4 linked regions of the Medicago truncatula genome follow. The main gene of each other region encodes a partner of the protein of the gene in region 3 in a complex. Links are inferred from orthologs where the notes say so. Each region holds a gene or a part of one and is shown on either strand. Other genes may lie near its edges.

Region 1 (7,154 bases), on a different chromosome or scaffold from region 3:
ACTTCAACAAGGGCAGTCTTCTCATGGAAATTGTGCATGGCTAATCTTTCAGCATTTCTTGCCTCCTCTCGAGCTAATTTCTTTTCCTCTAGAGCTCTCTTCATGCAAGATAAGGGAAGCAAATTTAAATAGGTAGAGGCAGAAAGATAAAATCAGAGATTACTCTACACAGCAAGAACATCTTAAAATAAGCATGCAGTGTTTGTTCACCCGAACAGTGATAATAAATTCATGGTTAAAATAAATGTTAGTGCCTCTAGTCTCCTCTTACTTTCAATTTAGTTCCTACAATTTGTTTTCTTTTCAATTAAATTATCACACTTACAAACATCTTCAACAGACTGATTTAAAGGAAAAGAGCAATTATTTCAAGCAAATACCCAAAGGCTGAATTCATGAAACATGCTAATAACACTGTCAAATACCAGAATAACACTAACAGTGACCTGTTTTACGTCAAATACCATTTTTTAACATATGAACTATGAACCAATGAAGATAGTTTTTGGAAAAACGTATAAAAGAGTCTATTTCTACATTTCCATATCTCTGTCCTTCTCCCTTGGGTCTGCCTACCTATTTCCTACTACTACCAATTTCTTACAATTTCACCTCAAATCTCCTACAGCAATTACCACCGGAAGCACCCACACACAAAATGAATCAATGACAATTTGGTAGGAAGCATTAAAAACAGAACCACGGTGGAAGATTCATCATGATGTCCACCCACCGAGCCCACAAAGAGCTTTATACCAATTGATAGAAGATACGGGTATATTATTAGTTATTACTGAAAATGGGAATCCCTTTGATTACAAACAATGGCAGCACATTGAGGGTCTGCCTGCCTATGCTAAAAGGCCCTATTCCTCTCAAATGGCAAGATGATTCCATCTCTAATCCTCCTCTCTATTTATAGGCAGCATGTCTTATTTGGCCTAACTACCTCTCAAGTCTCAACTCAGCTACTAACTACCCATTAACCAATTAACTAACCTCTTAAATAACTACTTAACTAACAATAACAGACCTATCAAGCAGCCATTATGTTGTGACTTTGGTGTAATGCAACTATGAGTTATTCTTTTATGTTGGGTTGTGTAAACAATTATGCATTTTGAGATGCTACTTGTGTAGTCACAATTTTTTGATACAATAAAATTATGGAATATGAAGGACATAAATTATGTTGGATGATTTTTTCTCTGTTGCTGATATTGTCAGTAGCTCCTTGTTTTGCTAAGCGCAGGTGTTATGTTACAGCAAGCTTACCAGGCTAAATATGTATTAAGTTAATGTTAGCATGTGCACCGGTCACTACCCAAGAGAAGGTTGTGAGTCGCGAGAGTTTTCCACTGTGGTAACCACACAGAGGTAAGGGCAGTCCTATAAAACACATTTACAATATTCACACAGGAAGATGGGGTGGAAAAATGCAATGTCCATTACATTTCAAAGCTAAGATTGTAATAAGTTAGATTTTGTGAACAGAATAGACTAATAGCCAACATGAAAATGATACCTGTACTTTATCAGGCGATTGAGCAATTTTTGAAAGTAGATTTCCATGCTCTTGAACATTTTGTACCAGTTTATATTCAGCATCAGAAATCTGAGGTAATAACAAAAGGAAAATCGAGTTAGAAGTAAGAATTGTCATCAAGTAAAATAATTTATCACCAAGTACCAACACAGGAATTAATATATATTATAAACTGATCAGATTAAGCTGCAGTCTGCAATATATGTTCAAGTTACATAACTGACAGGGTTAAATGTCCTAATCCACCATTAATTATTCACATAAACATCTATGCCTTTACTGAAATGTATTCCATATACTACTCAAAAAACCCAACATCAAGAAGTAAGACTATGCAACTCATTATGCTAAACTTTCACTATCGGTTAAAGCATACCTTATCATCCATTTCCACAGTCTTCTCCTTCAACTTCTTTATTGTACTTCTCAATGACATCTGTTTATTGTTCAGGTTCGCAATAGTTTGACGCAACTCTTTAACTTTTGCATCCACCTCCTGAACAGAAGGCAATTCCCTTTCCCTCGCTTCATTGCATTCAGCAATCGCCAATTTCAACTATAACAGAATGAAAATCTATCAAATAAAACACCAATACCAACACACACAAAAAAATAAAAATAAAAATCATTCAATATTATAAACCTGTGTAATATTATTCTCTTCAATCTCAACTATCTTCTGTTCCAACGCGTTGAATTCGTCTACGATTTCTGATATCGCATTCAATCTCCCATCCCTGATTTTAAAAAATTTAACAATTAGGTTATGTTTTATTTTTCCTTGATGATTTAGCAGAAATGGTTGAAGAAGTGAGAGTAACGAACGAACCTGTCGAGACAGAAATTGAGAAGAGCTCCAAGGAAAAACTCGGTTCGATGAGGATCGGGTTTGAGAAGATCGGCAAAGTTAAATGTGTATTTCTTAGGACATTCAAGTAAGTTAAGCATTTCCTTGATCTTGTTGTAAAGCTTGATAGCATGAATAGATCCAACGTGAAGGTCGGGATTCTCGAGATGCTCTAGTGCATCGAAATCAAGCTGTCCGTTGTCTTCGCTGTGAGAAATTCAAAAAGAGAATAAAAATGAAGCGCGTGAAGCGAAGATTGAAGAGAAGGGAAAGGGATAGTTACTCGTGGAGAAAATCGAGGTAGTTGAGGATGCGAGTGTAGAGATCCAAAACGACGCCGGTTCTGGGGTTGGAGATGTCGTTCTCTGTAACGGTAGCAATTTGAAAGTTGTTTAGGAGTTGAACTATTTCTGGCCGGCGAAGCCTTGGGTATTCGTAGTTCGACATCGCCATGTTCTTCTTCAACCGCTACTCAGACGCAGAGATTGTTAAAGTGACCGTGTGTGTGATTCAAAATTGAAAATTGAAAATTGAAAATTGAAAATTTTGAGTCCCGCCCAAAGTTTTTTAGTATTTAGTAGAGTGATACACGAGCAGTGCGCGTCTGTACGGATCAAATCTATACAAAAATCAAAATTACTGGTGAATAGACAGACTTATTGCTCCTTCATTGATTTTTGTTCAATTGTACAAATTGAGATTGAACCAAAAAATAAATAAATGAAATTCTGGATAATTCTATAATGTAAAGATTTTTTTTAATTTTATTTTACACACTCTCAAGCTAGGTCTCTCACACAAAACTTTTTTATTTCTACAATACTCATTTTCTATTTTGAATTTCTAACATTGACTTCATTTCACACGTCACCGCTCATCGTTCCTCTAGTCCAATCTCATATCGTCACTTCTCTAACTCATTCTCATATCATCGCAAATCTCATGCAATTTATCTTCGGACAAACCCGATTATGTTTTCGTATTGTCATGTACTTGTTGAACCCAAATCTCATCAAATTTGATCGAATTCGTAGACATATTTAAATTTAAAAATTGGTTCGATCTAATGTGAATACCATATTCAGATCACATAAACCCGACTTAATCCGTTCTTTTTTTACCCTTAATATTCATATATTAATATCATAACAGCTACACCCAAATTATTATTACTATTATTATTATTATTATTATATGAAAAGACAGATATTGATATCATAATGATTGCACCCAAATGAACGTGTAAGGATGTAACATTACAAGCAAAGCATAACAAATGTAATTTATCTAACAAAAGTACAAAAACTCTGAATAAATTAAAATTAATCACCAAAACAGAACTTACTTCCCCATAATACTACTTTCATGGAGCCACCCAAAACAACACATCACAAGGCCCAAACAAACTTATTCTCTTGAGACAAGATCAGTCACCTTGATTCAAACAAACAGAACCGTAGGAAAAACTGATACTTAATTTAAGGAAACAGCTTCTGCATGATTCAACTAATATGAAAAGAGCAACTGGTATGAAATTTGCAAGGCACGCATATAAAAGTTGAATACATTATTGATACTTAAACTCTAGTATAAAAATCAAGCAGCATTGATGGCAATTTTCACACCAGAACCGCAGTGACCTGGAAAATTGCACATGAAGTAGTTTTGTCCCTTAGCAAGCCTGACCCGATCCTTCCCTGACCGATACACTTTAGATCCCCTTCTTGGAGTACTGCACTTATCATACACTTCTTTGGTTACTGCCACCACATTGTGAGTCCCTTGCCTATAGTTGAACACTGCACAAACATATGAAAAATTATATTTACACTCAAGAAATTGGATAATTATTAAAAGAGTCGTATAAAAAAATATCTTCTGTGTTATATTTTTTTTATTAGAATAATATTAAGATGCTTGACATAAAAGAAAAGAATAATGTTATTAACCATAATATTAAGAGGAAGCATTGAAATATGGATAGTGCCATATATATATATGGATTTGCTAAAACACACCCACTAGTTTTTATGTGGGAGTGTTTTAGCAAGCTACATCTTAAGGTGTATTTAACTACTTTTTAGTTAGGCTTAAATATGTAAAAGGTCCCTGTAATTTAGCGTGTTTTTGTTTTTAGTCTCTGTAAGTTTTTTTTTTCTAAAACAACCCTTGTAATTTCGAAACCTTTTGGAAATCATCCCTGACGTCAGGTTCCGTCAACAAAAAAGCATTGTTGGGTAACAGAGACACACGTGGCAGTTTCTGAGTTGGCAAAAGTTGCTGACGAAATGTTCATAGGGACGAAAACCAAAAACGCAAATGTTCATAGGGACGAAATTGAAAAAATGTAAATATCAAAATTTCAAATTTAAAAACAAGATGATCTTCTTCATCATCCCTCTTTTTTCTCTTGTTCATCTCCCTTCCCTTCCAATTTCTTTATCTCCCTAGAAAAAACTCATCCCCTCGTGGCAATGTCTTCTCATTCCAATTGTGAATCTCCCTTCCCTTGCAACAGCTTTTGAGGCTACTCAATCTCAACCAAATGTGAATTCAGTTTTGACAAACACACCCAATTACTATACTTAAAACAATTAAGTGATTCTGCATCTTTTGAAGCAGTTTTATTTATGTATATAACTTTATTACAAATTATCTTATTATTAAGTTTAATTACTATATTATAGAATTGTGTTTTCCATAGCTTTTCTGCTATGTGACAGTCAAACAACAATGTGGCAACTGCCTCCGTACAAACCTCTACACAAACTCAATCACATAACATTGGGGATACTGCCTCTGCATAGACTCAATTACCCACCAATGAGGCAGCCTAAACAATAAATTAAACATATTAAGCTTTTAATTAAATTAAACTTTGTTAAAATTATACAACAAACATAGTATTATAACAACGAACTCACCGTAAAGGTTGGACATTTTCAATATCTCCTTTTAGGGTTTTCATTTAAATTGGAGATGAACATCCTTATGATTTTGGAGATGATGTATTAGCAATGGAACGAGAAGACATTGCCACGAGGGGGTGAATTTTTTCTAGGGAGATAAAGAAATTGGCAGGAAAAGGAGATGTAGAAGAGAAAAAATAAGGATGAAGAAGAAGAAGAATATATTGTTTTTAAATTTGAAATTTTGACATTTACGTTTTTTTCAATTTCATCCCTATGAACATTTGCGTTTTTGGTTTTCGTCCTTATGAACATTTCGTTAGCAACTTTTGCCAACCCAGAAACTGCCACGTGTACCTCCGTTATCCACCAATGCTTTTTTGTTAACGGAATCTGACGGCAAGGATGATTTCCAAAAGGTTTCGAAATTACAAGGGTTGTTTTAGAAGAAAAAAAACTTACAGGGACTAAAACCAAAAACACGCTAAATTACAGGGACCTTTTACATATTTAAGCCTTTTAGTTATAACTTGCTAAAACACACCTTCTAAAAAATAAGTGGGTGTATCCTAGCAAATGCGTATAGGAGTTGCTAACATACACCCACTTATATTTTAGAAGGTGTGTTTTAGCAACATTCACCTTAAGATGTGTATTTAACAACTTTTTAGTTATATCTTTACTAAAACACACCTTAATAAAAACTAGTAGGTGTGTCCTAGAAAACCCCATATATATATATATATATATATATATATATATATATATATATATATGACTTTTTTTAATCAAGGCAGAGAGAGTAAAGACTTCCCTAGAAAAAACAAGGAGATGTGTTGGGGGGGGGGGGGTCACCAATATGGCCCTCATGTCGAATAGTATTAGGACAAAATAGCATCTTTGTATTTTTTTTTTGTACGTTTTCAGTTCTTAGGAGAAAGGGACTTTGATCATTTTAAATTTGATTGAAATGTAAGTAAAGTTTGACAAATAATTATTATAGATTTATGGTCACGATTGTATTAGAGTAAAATTTAATAATTCTCTAGTGATTGGAAGATACATACCAAGTGTGTCACCAGCCCTAAATCGTTTTCCTCGAGACCACCCAACCGTGTTAAAGGTCCAACCTACAGTACCTCCAACATTGTAGGTAGCAGCATGAACAAGCTCAGAGTTAAGAACAAAAAAGCAGACTAGTAGAACCACCACACTGCCTCTTCCCAGAGCCATGTTTTCTCTACTAGTACTTGCTAGAAAGCTGTGAAAGAAAGGGATTTGGATGTAAGAAAATTTGGAATAATGTGGTAAGGTTTTATAATTGAGGAATGAGTGAAGAGGTCTGCAAGAAATCTTATGGGAAGTTGGTTAGATAGTAGATACCATAGACGTGGGTCTGCCCAAAATATTCAATCCGTAATGATTCTTGAGATGTATGATTTTTAGCACAAGTTGTAATTGATAATTAAGGTACTATCAATTTATGATAATACTAGTATTATGATAGTGGTTCAAGTTAAACTCCACCAGTTCTAAATTGTCGATAGTACATTTGACTTTAAATTTGGTTTCATGGCACCAGCTTCGCACGTATGCCTGAGTGCTAACCCATTTCCTAAGATGGAACTCAACTAACAGCATATGTCAACCTCCCATGGCATAATTTTTCTTTGAAATGTCCTACAAGAAAGTACATTAATAGATGGTGATGTCATGGTTGACCTGGACTTATATTGTTATATAGTATTTCTCATTTTACTATTTTTTTCTGTAAAAAAATACTTATATGATCACAATCTCATAAAAATTATTTAAACACATATTTATTTATGCGTGTCTAAATGAGTTTTAG
Region 2 (6,842 bases), on a different chromosome or scaffold from region 3:
GGAGCGGATGAAGATATAAAGGCAGATTCTCCAGGATTGACTGTTGTTAGAACTAAGCTCCCTGTTTAATAGCAATTAGATAAAGTTACATTCATTACAAGCAACCCTTTCATCCAATTTCCAACAAGCGAAGATACTATTTAATTAGACATGTGAAGAAAATATATTAAGAACAATTATACTTATATTCATATAATAATAAGCTAATGAGAAGAATATCAAATCAACTAGAACCATGTTTGAACAGTTCAATAAGACATATGAACTGGTAAAACATTCATTCAATAAATTTTCTTCAAATAATGAATAAACATCATTATAATATGAAGTATTTGGAATTACTATTATTATTAATAGAATCACTTCGTATTGGAGCTCTGCATATTTGGAATTATTATCATTTTACAATTCAAGCGGTCTTTTCAGTCTCCAATATGCAGAGCTCCCACATCACATGCATGCACTCATTTAAAAGATAGAAACAAACATTGATACCTTGTACCAATGCTTCTTGAAATTTTTTCCTCATTACTCTGACAAACTTAAACAGACCATCTGTCTTGTTTAATTCATGGACCAGCTCTTCAATACCATCGAAGGAAGGTTCACAACGTAACACTGAAAGATAAAAGAGATGGTGTAGGTTTCATGAAGTGTATATACACTGAATATTGTATAAAATCATAAATGCAGGCTGCTTACATGTATAAGTATTTTTATCATGGAAGACAGTAAAAGAGTACTCCTCATTTGGATTCTTCAAATTTATATTCTTGAACGTGAACTTTACCCCTGAAGAGCATAACTAATAAGGATATCAACTTTGTGAAGAAGAATAAAAAGAAACCTTATGCAAAAAAAGTTAATTGTCAATTACCACGTCCCCCTTTGACATGAAAACCAAGTACCCTGTTATACCAAGAGATGGCCTCATGTGTTTCGTCTGTATGTTCAATGCCTTCATTCAACCTCCCTTCAGATGCTGCCAAAGCTTCATATGGATTAAAAGAGAAGACGAGGGAGGTGAGAGGATATCTTATAAAAGTACATAACATTTCTTTTAACGAAGTAATTTCAAGTTTAGTAAGTAGAACAAATCAAATAGAATATATAATAGAGAAGAAACGCAAAAACATAGTTCCTCAATCAAAACTTAGAATGCATAACATCTGTGCAACAGCTAACATTCATACTTTTTTTCTTGAGAAAATGTGTTCAGTATTTGTAAACAGTTCATACATTCAAAAATAATGGAAGTGGGCATCATGATATCGGTCAAACATAAAATCTCCCGATTTTGTACAAGACAAGCTTTTTTGAAGCCCAAATTCATTAATTCTACCACTTTGATACACAAAAGGGACCAACGATATCCCATTACTTCATTACAACTTTAAAAAAAACCCTAAAAAATTTAAAAAGACTGACGGTGCTTAAACAGATGTAGTAAACCAATGCCTGTCTCCCGAGAAGTCACTTGGTTGAGATTCTCTCTTCAACCTCAAGAAACTTGGTTCAAGACCCGGCACCAGAGATGTAGTAAACCAATAACCACCCAGCAAACAGAAACCCCAAAACGACCACAACATAGTTACAAGCTTAAGAACTACGACCACGACAGTTCAAACTTATAAATACATGTTCTGTAAAAGCAATTAATGAAGAACGTATGAGTTATGACAAACCCATTGTTAGAAAAACATCCTTCAAATCTTATTTTATAACAGGCGAACTTAAAATCTTCAAAAATGATTTTACAGGTTGCATGATAATCCATGTCTTACTAGTTCTATGCTTCCAGAAGAAAAACAAAGATTTACATGTTGAAGTAGCTACTAAAAAAAAATGTTAGCGTCTAGACATGACAACCTCATAGTACATGTAATCTCGATACTTATGCAAGATGGCATTTGGCTACTTTATGTTTAACATACATTGTGTGCACAATATCAAATAGATTGAGCAAACATCAAATATATGTCCTATAAACAAATAAAAATGTAGACTTGAATAGGGAACAAGTTACAACCATGTCCAATCATGATGTCGACAACCATGGATTAGCTTATTTTTTATCTCATTAAAAATAGCTTATGCAAATAAATAAGTTTTTATGTTAATTCATAAGTTCCCACTAGTGAAAATTGTATTTTCTCAAAGTTCCCACTAATGAAAATTGTATCTTCATAAGAGCTGTTTTTTCATAAACTACATTGACAAGCTTATGAATAAGACATAAAAGCTTATTTATTTGTATAAGTTGTTTTTCATAAGCTCAAAAATAAGCCAATCCAAACGGGCACTAAGTCAATGTTAAATTCCTTCACCAAACAGGGTTTGAATCTGTAAAAACATAAAATACTTAAATAGCTACAAATTGCAGCATTTGCAGGAAAAAGAGGTTAATTACCGAGTGATTGCTGCGATAGAAACGAGATATATTCTTGTTTCCTCGTTCGAACCTCTTGAATACTTGAGTTGAGATTTCCAACTCTAGCCTTAGCAGAAGCAATAGCATCTAACAAAGCCATTCGCTTAGCCTCTTTACGCGTCTTTTCTGAAAAAACAAAAACAAAAAAAGTTCACAAATTTTCCCTTACTTAAAACAAATAAGCTTAAAATTGAAAACCCTAATACTTATACAAACCAACCTGCGAGTACTTTAACCAATTCATCTTCCACTTCCTTCAATTTGTCTTTAACCTCTTCTAATTGAACTGAGAAGGAAAAGTAAAAATGAAAACCCTAATATGAGGAAAAGAGTGAAAGTGAAAATTGAAAGATGAAACCCTAAAGACCTTGAGTTTTCGCGGTTTGTTGTCCGGTGGTTTTAATGGATTGGAAGGATTTGGAGACGGAAGCGGCAAAGGCGTCGATGGTGTGGATTTGTTGAGTGATTTCTGAGTCGCGATGGGTTGAAGAAGTTGAACACTCCATCTTTCTGGACTCACTCGTATCCAGTGTTTTTGAATTTCATGAGTTAGAAAAAAAAGCTCGAACGTTGTTGTGGTGGGCCAGTTTCTCAGTTAAACTATGTAAATGAAAGTGTACTTTGGTCATTCAAAAACATAAATTACATCTCCAATTCATTTAAATAAGGATTAATTAAGTTTTTAGTCCCTATAAATATTTAGAATTTTGTTTTTAATCCCCATAAAATAAAATCACATTTTTTAATCCTTATAAAATTTTCCATCAACATTTTTAGTCCTTATAAAATTTTTCATAAGCATTTTTAGTCCCTATAAAAATTTTCCATTAGCATTTTTAGTCCCTAAAATGCTTAAGGAAAATGTCACAGGGACTAAAAAGTGTGATTTTATTTTACAGGGACTAAAAACTTAATTAACCCTTTAAATAATGACTATTATAATATCTAGTTCATCATAATTACACGACTTGTTGTAATTTTGTTTTTCTATAAAAGAGTCTAATTTGAGGCCTATTTCGTTTAGTCAGTGAGAATCACATTGTGTCCTGAGTTGCATATCGTGTCTATTACTAGTTCATACAACTCTCACGGATAAAAATGACTATGATACTGTAAGTCATTATTGGTCGATGATGGGATAAAACTGTAAGTGCACGGTTTATCGATGTAGTAATAAAAAGTATCGTTTTGATAGGGAGTTATGAATTTACTTAACTTTCAACAATGATTAGAAAAGAGTTTTAGTTTGCAAGTTTGGATTTTTAATTAAAATAAAATAATAAAAATAAAAGCGCATTGTGATTATTGGTTCATCTAAATAACAAGTCCTTCACAAACAAACCCTAAACCATAATTTTATATTGGATTTACTTTCTAAAGACAAGTTTCTCTTTGAACCCTTGAAACCCTTCACAAGCAAACTTTGTGAGTGTGGTCCTCTAGCAACCACGCATATTTTCATGGTTGGTTGCTATTAGAATCATTGAAGTTCGAAACTTTATATGTCTCAAGGTTTGCTAGACTATTTTCATGTTTCGCAATCCTTGTCTAAATTCATTTGTTCCAATATCAAAACTCCACTTTTGCTTTATGAATTAATATTTGAGATGATAAATTAACAATTACTAACCCTCCACTTTCGCTTCTACAGTTTGGTAATTGTTAATACATGTTAAAACGGTGAATTTAGATTAGAAAGTAGATTTATATAAAATTAGGGCTCAATGCTTGGTTTGATTAGGGTTATGTCATTTAGACTTACCCAACAATCCCAAGACAAGAAGAGTCTACTCACTCACGTTCATTGTAGACATAGAAAAGAAGAAGAAGAAGAAGAACATAAAATAAAGGTGAACTTTTATTCAAAGAAACAATTGTCACTTATTATTTCAGATAACAAAAGATGAATTGTTGTGATAGCTAGCTACTCTAGTTATAGCCTTATGTCGACTTAAAACCTAAGCAACTATTCACTAGAATGTTCCACAAGAAACCACGGGCTTTTAGATCAAAATAGGTAGCTTGTTTCCGAAGCAAAAGCAGCAAAAGAGCACCCTGAATCAGCTTCTAATCCTCTTTCTTTTGCTCCAAGACTCAATCTATCAAATATTCGTTCATGAAATATAACAATATGCAATTGAAGTAAAATAGTTCTAAAAGGAAATAATATTTAAATAAATAAACTTAAAATCTAAATAAAACAGAATCAAATATTATATTAAAACTACTAATTATTGACTCATCAGTCGATTCTTAAAGAAGGATCGATCAGTATGTATGTTCATTCATGTTGGGTTTTATATATGGCCCATTATTTTATCTTTTATCAACTATTATTTAACTTGTGTTTTTTATACGTTTGATCTAAATTTATGTTTGATGTGCAAAAAAATATTTTTGGTGATTTAATGTTCTAAAATGTTGTGGTTCGGTGTAAAAAATTGTTTTAGTCTGACGCAGGAGTGGATCAGATCCTAACATCCAATCAATTTGTAAAAAGTGATCCTACAAAAAAACATAAAATTGAACAATTGAATTCTAACGTCTCATCTACAGGGGTCAGTTTCAAACCTTATACCTATTTTTATTTTGTGGTGGTCACCTATGACCTTGCATATATTATGTATTGTCCCTATCAACTGAGCTAACCTCAAGAGGACTAAACCTTGTAACTATTGATCCATAACTGATAGAGTTGGATCAAACGTAGCTCCCAAAATGTAGCGAATGGGAGTTCGGGTCCAATATGTTCGGGAGTTAGAATCCAAGGGAGGTATTTTGAAGTTTTTTAGGGGGCGTGAGCAATTTGAGAGTCCCCTAGAGCAATCTTCCTAATATATGTGAAAGCAAGGCCCGTCGAAACGCACAAAGGGCTATGATAATTGGGCATCTGCAATATTACTTTTCCCACCCTATACCTTTCCTCACGCGCCCTATTTTTTTTCTTCCAAAATACCCTTTGTCCGAAAAATATAATCCGAACTACTTCCGGAATATTAATTCCGGATTTATTCGTGGATTTTGGCACTTAATCACCCTGATGGATGAAGATGTCAGTAATGAATAGATGAATCCGGATTATATAATCCGAACAATTTATATGATTTTCGTATTATATAATCTGAAAAGTGTAAATCACCCCGTTGAAAGTCAACAAAAGTGGGTGGTGAACGATGGTTCCGGATTATATAATCCGGATGTTATAAATCTGTCCGGATTATATAATCCAAACTGCATCAGTATAGAGGCAGAAGTCATCTGTTTTGGCTGAGCCTATGTTTTAGAGTAGATTTAGTCAATGTTGTTGGCCTTTGACCATATGCAGACCAAAAAATCAAGTTATAAAATCGAAATTAACAACACAATATAATTTTCAAACATTAATAAAACATAATTATCCAAATGTTACATAACATTGTGATCCAAAATATTCAAACATTAAAAGTAAATAAAATACAATCAATCCCTAATAACTACACCCTAGCACCTCTGCCACCACCCCTGCCACCATCAGTAGCTCCCCGACGACGGTAAACTTTCCCGTCATTCACCTCTTTCAACGCGTCCTCCAAATGTTACCATTCCTCAGTCCTTTTCGGCACCAGACCACTTCTCATCACAACATAGATGTGGTCTCTAATGCGGCTCATCCTTCCGCTAAGCTGTAAGTAGGCAAGGTCTCCATCCTTCTGAGCAGCTCGCGCATCAAGGATCTCACGCTCCAATGACCTCGGCACCGGTACCGACATGTTTGGAAGAATCATGTGTGGATGGGAATGTCGATAAAACCAATCGGTATATCCATCTTCTGCCTCCACACCATGAACTGCAGGCTCTACCAACTGCTTAGGTGTCAACGCATAATCAAGTGCACGGAGAAAGCGGTTTGTGATCTCCGCCAAATTAACATCAACAACTGCACCCTCAACGGGATGTCCCGGTATGGTCTGAACCCACCCAAACTGACGAAGCACCCTCTCCGGCAGATATCTCACCATGCGGCCTCTGAATCTCAGCCATCCAGAGCAGGCCAGTCTCGTGTGGGCCACCAGGATAGTCATTTAGTGGCTCAGGGTCCACCACCTTCTCCTTCTTCTTTCGCCTTTGTCGTGGCTCGACATCTTCCATTTCCTCGTCCATAGCATGCAACTCCTCCTCAAGTTCCTGATCCTCCATGTGCTGCAAGCCCACATCAGGCTGCTCTTGCTGCAAGTCCATATACTCTTGCCACTCTGGCTGATGCTCGACACCAGGCTCTACATCAGCATGACGTCCTCTAGCACCCAGACGCCTCGAAGGAACACCACCTTCATGCCGTTGGCTACACGCTCTCCTACGGGAAGCATGCTCTGCCTCCCTTACGCGCCGAGTATTAGATGTTGAACCTTCTGTAACATTCAAATTAGGGTAA
Region 3 (7,243 bases):
CATTTCATTGGGTGATTTTGAAAGCAAAATTAAATCAACCTAAATTATGAAACCTAAACTCAGATTATTATTTTCCAATGTTTTATAACATTGCATTTTAATGAAACTGTACGCAGATGACTTAATCAAAATACACTATCTGAAATTGACATGTTATATTATACCCTATATAAAATTGTGTTGATGTAAACTTATGATCAAAATACATAACTTAATATCAGGGTATTGGAAAGCTTACAATTAAAGTATAAAAAAATCAGACTTTTTTTTAGGAAGCTGTAGAGATATATATTTTCGATAACCATGAACAAAAATAAAATTCGCGCACTGATTACCCTTTCTGAGAGTGTGGCAAACAGTTACATTACCTTGCCTGATTAGATCCTTCACATCTTGAATCAAGACAACATAAACATGGTATCATATAGTCGAGCCTTTGATGGGGTTTATACAATGCAAGGAGTCGGTATATCAAACAAGCTCAATTATATTCAAGTTTTTTTTGCCAAAATAAGCCCCTAGTAAATAGCGTGAAGCTCGGCATACATGATGTCAGAAGAATCATTAATATAGCCTCAGAAACCTGATAAATAATATCCAACATTGTTTCGAATAATTCCACCAAAACCAGCTCTCGCGGGGGTGCCCAATCAACTACCAATCAGGAATGATACCATTGAGTTTTGTTTTTAACAAACCTGGTTTTGCATCCGGTATAACTAGAGTATAAGAAGAGAGAAATATGAATGATATTTGTACCACCATTTTATAACAATTTTTTTGTATAACTCTCTTTTATACTCACAACATGTTCTTATTTTTCCTCTTCATTTTACTTTCTCTATTGTTTTTGATTAATAAGAGAACAAAAGAAGGTTGTCACAAAAGCTGTCACAAATGATTGTATAAGTATCACTATTCAGCAAAATGGAAGGTGCGTAGGAAGGTGGGTGATGGTTCTGATACGTTGTTTTGGTTTCACTGGTGGTGTGGAGGGGCGCCCCTTAGAGAGCAGTTTCCCAGGTTGTTCGATTTAGCTGTAGACAAATATATTACTGTTGCTAACTTGAGGTTGTTGCGGGGTGGGGAGGGGTGGAGTTGGAGGCGGAGGTTGTGGGCGTGGGAGGAGATTGTCTTAGAGGAGTGTAGGACATTATTGCTTGATGTTTCTCTGTTTACTGATATTTCAGATTCTTGGATTTGGCTTCCTAACCCTATAGGAGGTTATTCTGTTTGAGGTGCTTATGAGGTGTTAACAGCGACTGTCAACTCCATCACGGATAGTGTTGTGGATTTGGTTTGGCATCATCAGGTTCCTTTGAAGGTGTCGATATTTGCTTGGCGTCTTATGAGGGATCAATTATCGACGAGATCAAATTTGGCATCAAGAGGCATCTTCAGTTAGACACGGCTCTCTGTGTCACAGGGTGTGGTTCAATTGAAACATCAGATCATTTATTTCTATCTTGCCCGTTTTTTGCGGATTTATGGGAGCAATTGCGGCTCTGGATAGGCTGTGTGGGGGTCGACTCCAACATTATTTCTAATCACTTCGTGCAGTTCACTTGTTTGTCAGGTTTTGCCAAAGCTAGGCGATCGTTTCTTGAGTTAATATGGCTTTTGACTACTTGGGTGATTTGGAGTGAGCGTAATAATCGTTTGTTTAAAAATGTTGTAACTGAGGCTCCTAGACAAGGGGATCCCCTCTCCCCTTATCTTTAGCAAAATTAATGGCTTTCCTACTGAACAGTTTTTCCCTCAGAGAGGGATTAGACAAGGGGATCCCCTCTCCCCTTATCTTTTCATTCTTTGTGCAGAAGTGCTCTCTGGTTTAATCCATAAATTCAAGAATCAGGGTCTCATTCATGGTATTTCTATTGCCACTAATGCTCCTTCTCTTACCCACCTTCTATATGCAGATGATAGCCTTCTTTTTTGCAAGGCTAAACCTGAGGAGGCTGTTCATATTGCTAATATTCTTACCCATTACCAGGCTATTTCTGGCCAAAAAGTGAATCTCAGTAAATCAGATATGGTTTTCAGTCCTAATATTAGTAATAGTACAAAAGAGCTTTTTAAGGCCAACCTTCATATTAACATCAGTGATAATATTACCAAGTATCTGGGCCTCCCTACTCAGTTTGGCAGATCTAAGTCTCATGACTTTAGGTTCATAATGGATAGAATAAGAAAAAAATTAAAAGGCTGGAAAGAAAAAAACCTTTCCTTTGAAGGTAGGGGTGTCTTAATTCGTGCTGTTGCTCAGGCCATTCCTGTTTATGTTATGAGTTGTTATCTCTTACCTATTTCTCTTTGTGAGGATATAGAAAGGGCAGTTTGTAATTTCTGGTGGGGTGGCACTGAACACACAAGGAAGATTCATTGGGTTTCCAAGCAAATTTTATTCAAACAGAAGAAGGAGGGTGGTATGGGTTTTAAAATTCTCAGGGATTTTAACTTAGCCATGTTGGCTAAACAAATTTGGAGACTTCACATTTACCCTGATTCCCTTCTGGCTAAATGTTTAAAAGCTAAGTACTATCCTAATTCTGATGTCCTTAAGGCTACTGCTGGTTACAATCCCAGCTATGCATGGAGAAGTTTACAAAAATCTATTTGGATTCTCAATAAAGGCTGTTGCTGGAGGATTGGAAATGGAGATCAGGTTCATATTCAAAGTGATAACTGGCTCCCTTATAATAATGGTTACAAACCTATCTACTCTAACCCCAATAGCCCTCCTATGGTTAAAGATTTACTTACTGAATTCCCCTTTGATTGGAATTATAATTTACTTCAGCAAAATTTTCTGCCTATGGATAGCTCCCAAATTGCTCAGCTTCCCATTATTCACCCAAACAAACCAGATGTGCTTATGTGGATGTTTGATCTTAGTGGAAGCTATACGGTCAAGAGTGGTTATAATGCTATTCAAAACTGGAAAGCTACGGCTAGCAATGACTCTTCAGCTAGTTCTGTCAATAACACTCTTTGGCAGAAATTATGGAACCTTAAAACTATTCCTAGACACAAATCCCTCTTATGGAGAATCCTAAACAACTCCCTACCTCTGAGGGATAATTTACTTAGAAGAGGAATTCAATGCTCCATATTATGCCCCCGTTGTAATATCAAAGAAGAAACTATGACCCATCTTTTCATGCGTTGTTCTCATTCAGAGAGAGTTTGGTTTGGATCCCAACTATCTATTCAAATGCCTAGTATTTCTAACCAACAATTCTCTGACTGGATTGCGGAAACTATTCTCAATAAAGATAGCAACACAGTTATACAAGTAGCAGCTATTACTTACAGTTTGTGGTATGCTCGAAATCAAGCTGTCCACGAAGACATCCTCATTCCAGAAACTCATATCATTCAAAGAGCAGCGTCAAGCCTCTCAGCATATCTGAAAGCTAATGCGAAAGTATCAGAAACTGGCTCCTCCCATTCCAGTGTTGTTTCCACAAACCATGGCAATCATGCTTCCTCTTCGGAAAAATGGAAACGTCCTGATCATAGCTTCGTAAAGGTTAATACCGATGCCAATTTGCAAGTCCAAGGAAGGTGGGGTTTAGGATGTATCATCAGAGGCGAGGATGGTAATGTGAAGCTATCGGCGACTTGGAGCAGGAATGGTTTTTATTGTGCAAAAACGGCGGAAGCTTATGGAATTTATGCCGGAATGGTTCTTGCGGTGTTTGCAGGTTTTCGTAAGATCATTTTTGAAAGTGACTGCAAAAATGTTATAGAGAAGCTCAAAGACCCTGTTTTAAAAGATAGAACTTACCTTGGAGCTATCTTATGCGAAATCTGCTTGCTTAGTGGTCAGTTAGATGATTGTAGATTTCATTTTATTCATAGGCAGGGCAATCATGTGGCACACACTTTAGCCCAACTTGCCCATGATAAACCTAATAATATTTGGTGGGAGTCTGTTCCTAACCAAGCCCAACCTATGTACATTCATGATCTAATTAATTAATTCAATCAGTCTTTTTTTTCAAAAAAAAAAAAAAAAATATTAGAAGATTGATTTTGCAATCGATTACCGATACATCTTGTTGTCTGCTTGTAATAATATGTAATTTCTATAATATTTAGTTACATTAAATAAAAGTTTTTTTTGACAGGGGATTAAAAAAAAAGTTATTAATTAAATAAAATAAAATATTCCACTCCACGATTTAAAAATTAAAAATAAATCCGCTCCACGTTTCTTGAAGCTACTCTCCCTCTTCCGACACAAAATTCAAGTCTCACACACAACATACCCGTTGCATTCAACAACAAGAAGAGGGAAACCTCTTCATTTTCATTTTCAAATTCATCACTCACTCCAAAATGAGACAACCCACCACCACCCACCGTCGCCAACCCAAAGACACCTACCCACCACCAACCCCTCTCAACCACCGCGACTCCGACATCAGTCTCGTCAGCAGCCGCCCCTCCTCCGTCGGAATCCCCTCTTTCGACCTTTACAAAGACCGCTCCTATCAACAATCCGCCGTCGCAACCATCAACTCCTTCCTCTCCTCTCACAATTTCCACATCTCTTTCAAATCTTCTCCTTCCCCTTCCGCTAAACAGATCCACGAAACCCTAATTTTCCTTACCAAACTCCTTGAATTTCCTGTTACAAAACTCGAAGACGATCTTCCTTTACTTCTCAAACTCTTCAACTACCCTTTTAAACTTAATAAATCCATTCTTAAAAACCCTGCTACCCCGCATCAATGGCCTTCAATGCTTTGTCTTATTCATTGGCTTGTTCAGATTTGTAATTTTAACTTATCTCTCTCCAATTCCTCCAGTACAACAACTATTCTTCATAACAATAATATTCTCTTTGGATATTGTTTGAATAGTTATCTTAATTTTATTAGAGGCGATGACGAGGCTATTCTTGATATGGAGGATCAAATTCGCCAAAAGATTCTTCATGAGAAATCTGTTGCTCAGGAGAAGCTGGCTGCTGTGGAGCTAACTGTTGTTGAATTGGAGGCGCAATTGGAGGAAGTGAGATCCGCGCCGTCTAAGAAGGATGAGCTTGAGAAAGAGAAGGCTGTGTTGGAAGGTGATGTGAATAAGTTTCATAAGATAATCGAGGAGTTTGGGTCAAGGATTGATCCGCTGGAGAGGGTTTTGATGGAGAAGGAGAAGCAATTGGAGGCTAAGGTGGTGGAGAATGAGAGGATTGTTGAGGAGAATGAGGAGCTTAAGAGTAAAGTGGAGTTGCAGACTTTTAATGCGAGAGATGTGGATAGGATGAAGAAGGAGTTGCAGGCTGCTGAGAGGGATGCTAGTGAGGCGGAACTTGCTAGAAATGCTTGGGAGGAGAAGTGTTGGGAAGTTGATAGCACTCTCGCGCATAAGATCAAAGACTTAGAGGCTCTCTCCATCGATTGCAACCTGGCCCTTAGGAGGTTCTTTTATTTTCTTCATGTATTTTACTGTGCCCCATTTGTTTTATAATCATTTGTTAAATTGCTGCTATAGTATAGCAGATTTTGGACCAACCGCTATTGTTTTGAGATACGTTATGTTATATAGTACAAAATGTTGTCAAATAGTGGTTGTTATAGTGGTGCTATAGCACCATTGCATAGCGAAATTTAACAATCCTCTATTTTACACTATCAGCAATTGAAAACACTGATCATATTTACTAGTTGAATGTGCACTGTTTGGCTATTTGTTTTAGACTAGACAAATTCATTCGCTGTGTTAATCTTAAGAGGGAATTAATTACTAAGCAAATGTTTCATTTCATGTGCTTCTAGGTTGAAGATTGGTAATGACATTCAGTATGTGTTGAATCCCAAGGGAACCACGCCTGCTGAAATCATGGGTTTTGATTACAAAGTCATGCTGAAGCCTGTACTTGAATCCTATGCTGATGACATCAAGAGAAGTTCGGTGGTGAAATTGGAAGAGTTGGTTTCCCTTCAGAAAAAGTCCGCTGAAAATGCTGCTAGGCTTGAGGGGAAAAGAAATCAACTTGCTGCACTGCAGTCACGCATTGATCAAGTAAGTGTATTTTTTCATTCTTAGTACTGATTTTAATACTTATTGTGCGATGTGTGCTTGTGCATTACATGAAGGACATGAATCCTAATTTTCTTAGATTGATTATTGTCGAATTTGATGTACTGAGAGAGTGAGTTTGGATAGAGATTGATTATGTGTGAACAGTGTGGTATCAGAGTGGTGCTGGCCTGAAGGAATTAGAATGTGGAAGCTGATGCAGGGGTAATGTTGTTGAATTGATGGCTCATGCCTGTGTTTCTTACTTGTTGCACTACTGTCTACTAGTTCTTATTTATGTTTTTAGTTGTTATCTTTACACTTAGAGAAAATGATATAGTATGTGACCGGAAAACAAAATTAAAATACTATTAAAAGGAAAATTCTTTGCTGTAGATGACAAATCAAGTTCATACCGACTCTTCCTTTTTCTGACAATGTTTATGTTACACTCTTTGTTGGAGTTAGAAGGGCATTTGAAACATAAATTGTCTTGCCTTGTAAAGACTGTTGTTTGACTTTTCTTTTCTACTGCTTGTTGATTTATTCACTAGCTGGAAACTCAAAGGGACATGATAAAGAAAGAAACACAGGACTACAGAAATAGATGTTCTGCCGAAGCTAAGAAGATATCGGACGATATCCAGCTAGCTGATCATGATGTGGGCATTATGGAAAGAGAGGCAGCTGAGGTTCTAAAGGTAAAATCCGGATTCTTATTTTTATCTTTAATAGTAAAATCAGTTGTATTTGAACCAAATTGGGGTAAAAGGCGTTGGTAGTTGTTATATGTATTGAATATTTGAACATCTGTTTGTCATTGTTATGTTTATTGTGTTTCAATGAACTTGGAAGGTGACCAAAATTTGCTGTAAATATGCATTCCACATTGATTGGCCAATTTCGTGCCAGTTTAGTTTTTGGATTTTTTCCTAAGATGCTAGTTGCTACCCATTGATCTTGTGTTTCAATCATTTTTTTGGCTGTATTATACTGTGCAAGAATATGAGTGCATAATTTGACATAATTTCTTACTTCCGCAACTAGCATGTTTTTCGTACTGTGTTGAATCCGTTCCTTTTTATTGCAAGCTTTGGCTTACCCTAGTAAATGATAATCAAACTGGGAATGTTGAAGAAAAAAGGCACACTAAATGTTAATTGCATATCTATATTTGTGATATGTAACATGTAACTTGCAGTTATATATTTGT
Region 4 (6,981 bases), on a different chromosome or scaffold from region 3:
GTTTGCAGTCATTAATAATTGCACTAAAATCAGAAACACCATGCTTAATACCTCGTTAAACAACACAGCTTATATTCATTATTGAATGACAATTATTTAAAATCTTCTTGAGCAGGAGATATATATATTTTTCTTACATTTGTTTAATTTTCTTGGAGAAACTTGTTTTTTATACTCATAGAGAAACTTGTAATTGAAATTTGCAAGCATATATCTACATTATTAAAATGAGAGTTAAGAGTGTAAACGGTTCCGACAAAATTGATGAAATTGAAAAATCAAATCAAATTGATATGTTGAAAACCAAACTGAATTGATTCTAATTTGATCGGTTTGAACATTTTTTAAACTGAAATCCAAACCAGGAATCATTAGACTCCGATGAGAGTCCTATTGAGAGAGTTAAAGATCCTTTCTATTTAATAGATACTATCATTTCAAGAGAGATAAATCTATTGAATATAATCATATTATTCAATTAATATTGTTGTATTTGTCCATGTGAACTTGACTTAGTTGATATAAACATTACATTCTATATTTATAGGTCGAGTTCGAACATCAGACACAACATCTGTAACGCCCCAATTTTATTTAATTATTATTGGTTGATTTAAAGTCTTTTTATATATGATTTTATATAATTATGTTGATTATGTGGTGTGTCATATTTTATTAAATGAATTATTTTACTATTTAATAGAATAAGTGGGAATTTAGAATATTTGGAGTTCAAGGGGCTGATTTAGAAATAAGGAGAGTTGTGTGGGATTAAGTGGAAATAGAGGAAGTTGAATTAGGTTTAGAAAAGAAAAGGGAGAAGTTAGAAAGAGGAGAGAAACTGTTTTCACGTACATCAGTTTTGGGAGAAAACAAGAGAAAGCAAGAGAACCAAGGGAGAGCCAGGTGAAGAAAATCAGAATTGTAGAGCTTTGTTCATCTGAATTAAGGTAAGGGTGAGGCTAACTTGCAATGATTTTAGTTTATATAATTCTGATTCTGTTTGACAAAAGTTATGAATGAATTTGGAGGATTGAGAATTAGGGTTAAGGAGAGAATTGATGATTAAATGATGGAATTAGGGTGAATTGATGTAGAAATGATGAACAGACCTTAGATGTTTCATATATTGATGTTTAGAATCAGTTTTAAGGTTAGAACAATGGGTTTGGGTGAATTTTTGAGAAAAACTGTAATCTGCCCGTACTGTTATTCATCGCTCGCCTCCCGAGAGATGATCCTCGCCGTAGCGAGTGATGAAGATCATCGCTCGCCTCGCGAGCAGGAGTTGTTCGCCTCGCGAGTTGCATTTCGCAGCTCGCCATAGCGAGCAAGTTTACTCGCCGTAGCGAGTGTGACCAGAGAGCTTGCAAGATCTCGTGATTTTGAGCTGTGAGTTTAACCTTAGATGTTTATGAGGGCCTGAACATGTACCTTAATGATTAGGCAAAGTTTTAGATTGAGTTTGAACTCAGAATAGAGTCAGAATGGAATCTAGAGTGTTTTACCCTAACTCGCCGTGGCGAGTAGAGGCTCTCGCCTCGCGAGCTAGTGCTTGACAGATTGCTTTGTTTAGGATTTTCATGTGGCTTTGTCGCATGAGAGGTTGTGAGCTGAACTTTGAGATAGCAATGAAAGATGTATAGGATATAAATGATGAACTGTGAAGCTGGTTATGGCAAATTGAGGTTATTAATGTGATAAAATTGTATAAGTAATACTTGGTTTATGTGATAATGCTAGACATCGTTGGATTGTATAAAATATTATCATATCATGCTGACGTATACTGTTGTGTTGCTGTTGATTGATTATGATTGTTAATGATCGCTGGTTTATACTTAACTGCATTCAATTAGAATGTACAATGTGTTGGTTCGAGTTGTAAGTGGCGAGTTGTCGTTTCCAAGTAACGGAGTCATAGGTTGTTGATGTTGACCAAGTTGGGGAGTGAGTGAGTTATTATGCACGATCGTTGTCGTTGCCTATGTTGTTGCTGTCGTAGTTGAGTTGTATGCTGATATACACAAGTCGAGTCCTTTCATGATTAGGAAACCGTTGAGGGCTCATGCCCTGGAATGCTCGTCATTCAACCGTTGAGGGCTTATGCCCTGGAATGCCTTGCCATTCAAATTGTTGAGGGCTCATGCCCTGGAATGTTAATCATTCAACCGTTGAGGGCTTATGCCCTGGAATTGCCTTGTCATTCAATCTGTTGAGGGCTCATGCCCTGGAATGTTCATCATTCAAATTGTGGGGGGCTTATGCCCCGGAATGCTTAGTCATTCAATGTGTTGAAAATAGTACCACGCCGTTGTTGTCGTTGAAGTAGTGGATGATGTTGTCGTTGATGGTGATATTGTGGTTGTTGTAGGTTGTGTTGTGGTCGTTGTTGTTGATGGAGATATTGTTGTTGTGGTCGAGTTGTTGTTGTCGTTGTTGGTTGATTTAGTAAGAGTTATTAAAGTTGAAGAAGTATAAATATTATTGTGGGAATATATGTTGCTTATTACGTTATTTAATTAAGTTGATGATTTATATATCTATTATTATTGTTTGTGAATCTCACCCCTTCTGCTTGGAATTGTTGCCTTTCGTATGGGTAACTTGCAGGTATTGAAGCTTATTAGAAGTGGTGGCTCAAAGTGTCTAGGGCTCTGATACGTACGGGATGGGATTTTCTTATTGTTTTTCATTCCTATGTATCAATTTTGAATATTGCTGACGTAGCCCTATGGTTGTTGAATTTATGTTGATAAGGCTTTTATGCCAAAGATTTAATTATGGAGATTTAAACTGTTGCTGTTGTTGTTTTGATGCAAATTTTCCGCTGCAAATTTAATGATGACTTTGAAGGACGTTTATTAAATAGATTTTATATTCTACTTAAAAAATTTTGAAAATGAAGTGTGACATGCCCGTTTGGGAATTACTCTGATGCATGTTTTATTAATTAATTGATTTTTGGGAAACGGGGTGTTACAACATCCTATTTATTTATTTTAAAAAGGTGAATTTTAACTATTAGATTATTTGACAATAAAAATTATTGTATTCAATGGTCCATTTCTCTTCAATTAACGATGTTCTTTAAATGAAGAGGATTCCAACTCCTATCGAAAGGGGTTATATAACTTTTTTAAAAATCTAATCTTAATACTAACTATTTCCTCCATCTGATGAAGAGAGGAAAATAATTTTGAGTGTCTTGTCAAGTATTTATGCATTCTTCATTATCATAAATGCAAAGTAGAATATATTGAATTGAGATTGATGAAAATAATTTTAATTAAAGTTATAATTAAAAAATAATAATTAACATTGTATTAAAAAAAATAAAATGGATCAATTATTTTAGGCTAAATTGCATTTTTGGTCCCTTAACTATTTAGGTAGTATCACTTTGGTCCCTTAATTAAAATTCGATTTATTTTGGTCCCTTAACTCTCTCTGTTACACATTTTGGTCATTTACGTTAGTTTTAATTAAAAAACGTTAGAGTTTTTTCATTTTCTTCTCCTGTTTTTCATCTTCATATCATTTCCATCAACCTTCAACAACAAAAATCCAGGAAAAATTCCAAAAAAAAATGAAGAAACACTAACGTTTTTGAATTAAAAGTAACGGAAAAGACCAAAAGGTATAACAGAGAGAAAGTTAAAGGACCAAAATAAATCGAATCTTAATTAAAGGACCAAAGCAATACTACCTAAATAGTTAACTGACCAAAAATGCAATTTATACTTCTTTTTTTTTCAATCGTTGAGACCGAGGGAATATTCATTTAAGAGTAGTGATATTTGTACATCCAATAGATGACAACTTTGGTGACAATCTATCAAAAACAATGGAGAGAGACAAAGAAATAGAGAGAATAAAAATATACGTGACTATTAGAGAGAAAGTTATTTAAAAGTTGTCACAATGAGCGTAGAATGTCATTTCTCTTGGTTTAATCAAAAGAAAGTGTTTCCCTCCGACTCAAAGGAAAAAAAAAAAAAAAGAACCCCAATTTTGAAACCTTGTTTACTTTCATCAACTCCAATTTCGTTTCTTCTTCCAATTTCGAACGAAAGAAAAACCACCTTCTTCTTCTTCCACATAAATGGCTTCTGATTCTTCTAGAAACTTCGACGTGGATCAGCTTATTTCCATAAGCAACGACCTCATTGAGGTTTTGCAAGATCCCGCTAATGACCGTGATCTCAACATCATCTCTCAATGTCTCCACCACACACTCTCCGTTTCTTCCTCCTGCCACTCCGACCTCAATGAGGTTCTCTCCTCGTTCCAAGGTCAATTTACTCTTTTGCCTTTTTCTATCTCTTCCGTTTCTACCACAAAATAATTACGGGGTTTGGGTTGTTTTGTTAAAGTTTTCATTTTTATGATTTTTTTTTTATTGGGTTTTCGATTTTTGGTGTTGCCCATCATTATTTATTTGCTGTTTGTTCTTTTGGTGTTTTACTTTGCTAATTTTAAGTTTGGTATGAATATTAATAGTTGAAATTCACAAACAATGATAGTCAGAAAAAATTGGGATTTAGGTTTAAGTTTTCATGTTTCTTACACTTACTGTGGCTGTGATTATTTGCTATGTTATGTTTATTTGGCAATTGGGATTGTTATATGGAGAACTATTGGATTGGATCTCTTAGTACTAGTGTGTAATTTATTTATTTATTTGAGGTGTTGCATGTGCAATTAAGGTGTTTGTTAACAGTTTCAAAACTTGAAGAGTATAACTATGTAAAAATGGAGTGGAAGTTTGCAATATGGTTTTTCAATATTTGCATTCTCTTTCTCTATCATTGTCTTAGATGTGGTATCAGTTACATAGTTAAGTCATAATAATGGAAAATAAGAAATGCTGTTCGATTTGATACAAAGTTCACTTGTAATTCAACTGGAAGTAGTTTGTGTGAGTGTCTGGTATGACAATGGAACTGTTTCGTTCTAAAGCAATGCTTTAAAATACGGAAATAGCGGCACTATAGTTCTATAGCGCCGTACGTAGATTTTGATGATAAGTAGAAAAATTCATTGGGTCGTTAGTTGGGACAGAGTGTGTTGAGAGAGATATGGGGAGAGTGGGTTGGGTATACAGAATTTGAGAGGTTTTAATTTAGAACTTCTTGTAAAATGGGTGTGGAGACTCAAAGTGGAAAGACAACTTTTGTGCACAAAGGCGATAATGGCTAAATATGGAAGCCAAGATGGAGTGCGTGTGGTTGGTAATGAATCCAGTTGGTGGCGAGACAGCAAAGCGATGGAAAAGGGAATATGGGAATCTCAAAATAATTGCTGTTTGGATAGAATGAGAAAGTTAGTGAGAAGTGGCAGCTATACAATATTTTGGTTGGACAAATGGATAGTAGATGGCACCTTTCAAGATAGATGTTGGAGATTGTATAGCATAGCAAACAACAACGAGGCTAAGGTGAATGGAGTTTGTAATTTTGTCTAAGAAACACGGGAATGGAAATGCAGCTGGAAAAAGAGGTTGTTTCAAAGGGAAGAGAAATTGATTGACGATGTTGAGTGAGCAGGGGGTCAATGGCGATGTGGAAAAGCAGAAATAAAATGGTTTTTGGGAGAAAATCATTTGAGTTGGACGAGATGTTGGAATCGGTAAAGATCTCATTGTGGAATTGGTTGAAGGTCCAAATTCTAGGAATTGAGTAGCCAATATCTCAATAGTTCTCAGCCTTTAATATGTTTGGGGAGTCGTATATAACTATGATAAAGTTTATGAATGAGGTGGTATGGTTTAACAGGAGACGGTTGTATCGTGGGTCTGGAGGAATGGGATGCAGTGCTTTCAAAATACAAGTTTGATCTGGTGGCAGAAAGTAGATCATAGGAAGTGGGTGGCATTTAAGTGGATGAGATTAATTCACCATAATTAATAGATTGGAGGTGGTGGTGCACATCCAGCTGCACTGTTTATGCAGAAGTTTCTGGTCAGCACAACAGGACGCAGACCGTGGAAGCCTGTAGAATTCTACATGATGGGCTTGTCAATATGGAGAAGTGTTTGTGCTAATTGAGTGTGTGTTTTTTTTTTTGAAGTTATCTTGCAAGAATCAGATGGTTATTAGAGTTTACCTTGGCATTGTGTTCTGGTATGGTTTTATTATGAGGACTATGTTATTTTGTAGAAGGGTGGCAGTGTTCAGAACCCCCCCAGCTGTTGAGCTCTGCCTCCATTCCCTTTCTATATGTCCTGCTCCATCTCTAATGAGTTTTCAGTGATTCTCCTGTTAGTCTCCTACTATGATGATGCCCTTAATTGGAAAGTTGTATATAAGGATGGCCAAAACCAAAAATCAATAAGAACTAGAAGAAATTGATTTTGAGGATTCTAAAGTAGAAGTTGAAAGATGCGATTCACTATTTGACAACAAGAATGATGATTATATTGGAAAAGGGGACCAGAATGAATAGATCTTTTGTCTTTTATGTTCAATCATTATTTACTGCTTTGAGTAATCACTAGTCAGAATTATGAACAATTGAGCTTTTTGAGTTAATTTTGTCACTTTATACAGTTGATTTTTATCTGTATTCAGCTTATTTTTATTTGTATATAGCATGCTTTTTAGTTACATAATTGATTTATTCCAACCGATATGTGGCTTCCGCTATCCGGTATTCCACATAGCGGAATTTTTCTTTCTTGCTATTTTCCGTGATGCACTATTAATAGCCACCCATCTAAAGTAATTCCTTTTAGCTCAACTAGCTCATATCAATGCTATCTATTATGCGTAGATATTCTTGATTGTATAATTGTATTATGTGCTTGACCAATGCTTAGTTGAATCAGATTATCAGAAAAAAATAGATTCGCACAAACAGAAAATTGAGCATGCTAGATCCGAGACTGCTGCTGATGCGGATCTGGAGCTTTTGCAGAGAGAACTGGATGAAGAACTTGAAAAAGAAAGCCTGTTGAAAGAGGAGTTTAGATAAGTCTAT

Evidence for each region.
Region 1: kinetochore protein NDC80 homolog (region 3) and kinetochore protein NUF2 homolog share a complex: the UniProt entries of both Arabidopsis thaliana proteins name them as parts of the NDC80 complex. The link is inferred for Medicago truncatula from reciprocal best matches to the Arabidopsis thaliana genes AT3G54630 and AT1G61000.
Region 2: kinetochore protein NDC80 homolog (region 3) and kinetochore protein SPC25 homolog share a complex: the UniProt entries of both Arabidopsis thaliana proteins name them as parts of the NDC80 complex. The link is inferred for Medicago truncatula from reciprocal best matches to the Arabidopsis thaliana genes AT3G54630 and AT3G48210.
Region 4: kinetochore protein NDC80 homolog (region 3) and kinetochore protein SPC24 homolog share a complex: the UniProt entries of both Arabidopsis thaliana proteins name them as parts of the NDC80 complex. The link is inferred for Medicago truncatula from reciprocal best matches to the Arabidopsis thaliana genes AT3G54630 and AT3G08880.

The regions. Positions count from the first base shown.
Region 1 is NC_053049.1:40,977,533-40,984,686, reverse strand, and holds the start of kinetochore protein NUF2 homolog, read right to left. Parts: upstream 3,029-7,154; 5' UTR 2,847-3,028; coding exon 2,677-2,846; intron 2,601-2,676; coding exon 2,376-2,600; intron 2,284-2,375; coding exon 2,190-2,283; intron 2,103-2,189; coding exon 1,923-2,102; intron 1,616-1,922; coding exon 1,526-1,615; intron 99-1,525; coding exon 1-98. Other genes in the region: basic blue protein, read right to left, coding at 3,990-4,192, 6,370-6,535. UniProt on the Arabidopsis thaliana protein: Acts as a component of the essential kinetochore-associated NDC80 complex, which is required for chromosome segregation and spindle checkpoint activity to ensure proper cell division.
Region 2 is NC_053045.1:51,670,338-51,677,179, forward strand, and holds the start of kinetochore protein SPC25 homolog, read right to left. Parts: upstream 3,024-6,842; 5' UTR 2,938-3,023; coding exon 2,799-2,937; intron 2,718-2,798; coding exon 2,652-2,717; intron 2,558-2,651; coding exon 2,411-2,557; intron 992-2,410; coding exon 878-991; intron 793-877; coding exon 703-792; intron 619-702; coding exon 496-618; intron 62-495; coding exon 1-61. Other genes in the region: uncharacterized protein, read right to left, coding at 6,356-6,819. UniProt on the Arabidopsis thaliana protein: Acts as a component of the essential kinetochore-associated NDC80 complex, which is required for chromosome segregation and spindle checkpoint activity to ensure proper cell division.
Region 3 is NC_053043.1:10,660,097-10,667,339, reverse strand, and holds the start of kinetochore protein NDC80 homolog, read left to right. Parts: upstream 1-4,237; 5' UTR 4,238-4,344; coding exon 4,345-5,429; intron 5,430-5,786; coding exon 5,787-6,033; intron 6,034-6,584; coding exon 6,585-6,731; intron 6,732-7,243. UniProt on the Arabidopsis thaliana protein: Acts as a component of the essential kinetochore-associated NDC80 complex, which is required for chromosome segregation and spindle checkpoint activity to ensure proper cell division.
Region 4 is NC_053042.1:48,947,151-48,954,131, reverse strand, and holds the start of kinetochore protein SPC24 homolog, read left to right. Parts: upstream 1-3,971; 5' UTR 3,972-4,105; coding exon 4,106-4,295; intron 4,296-6,829; coding exon 6,830-6,971; intron 6,972-6,981. UniProt on the Arabidopsis thaliana protein: Acts as a component of the essential kinetochore-associated NDC80 complex, which is required for chromosome segregation and spindle checkpoint activity to ensure proper cell division. Required for the maintenance of plant architecture.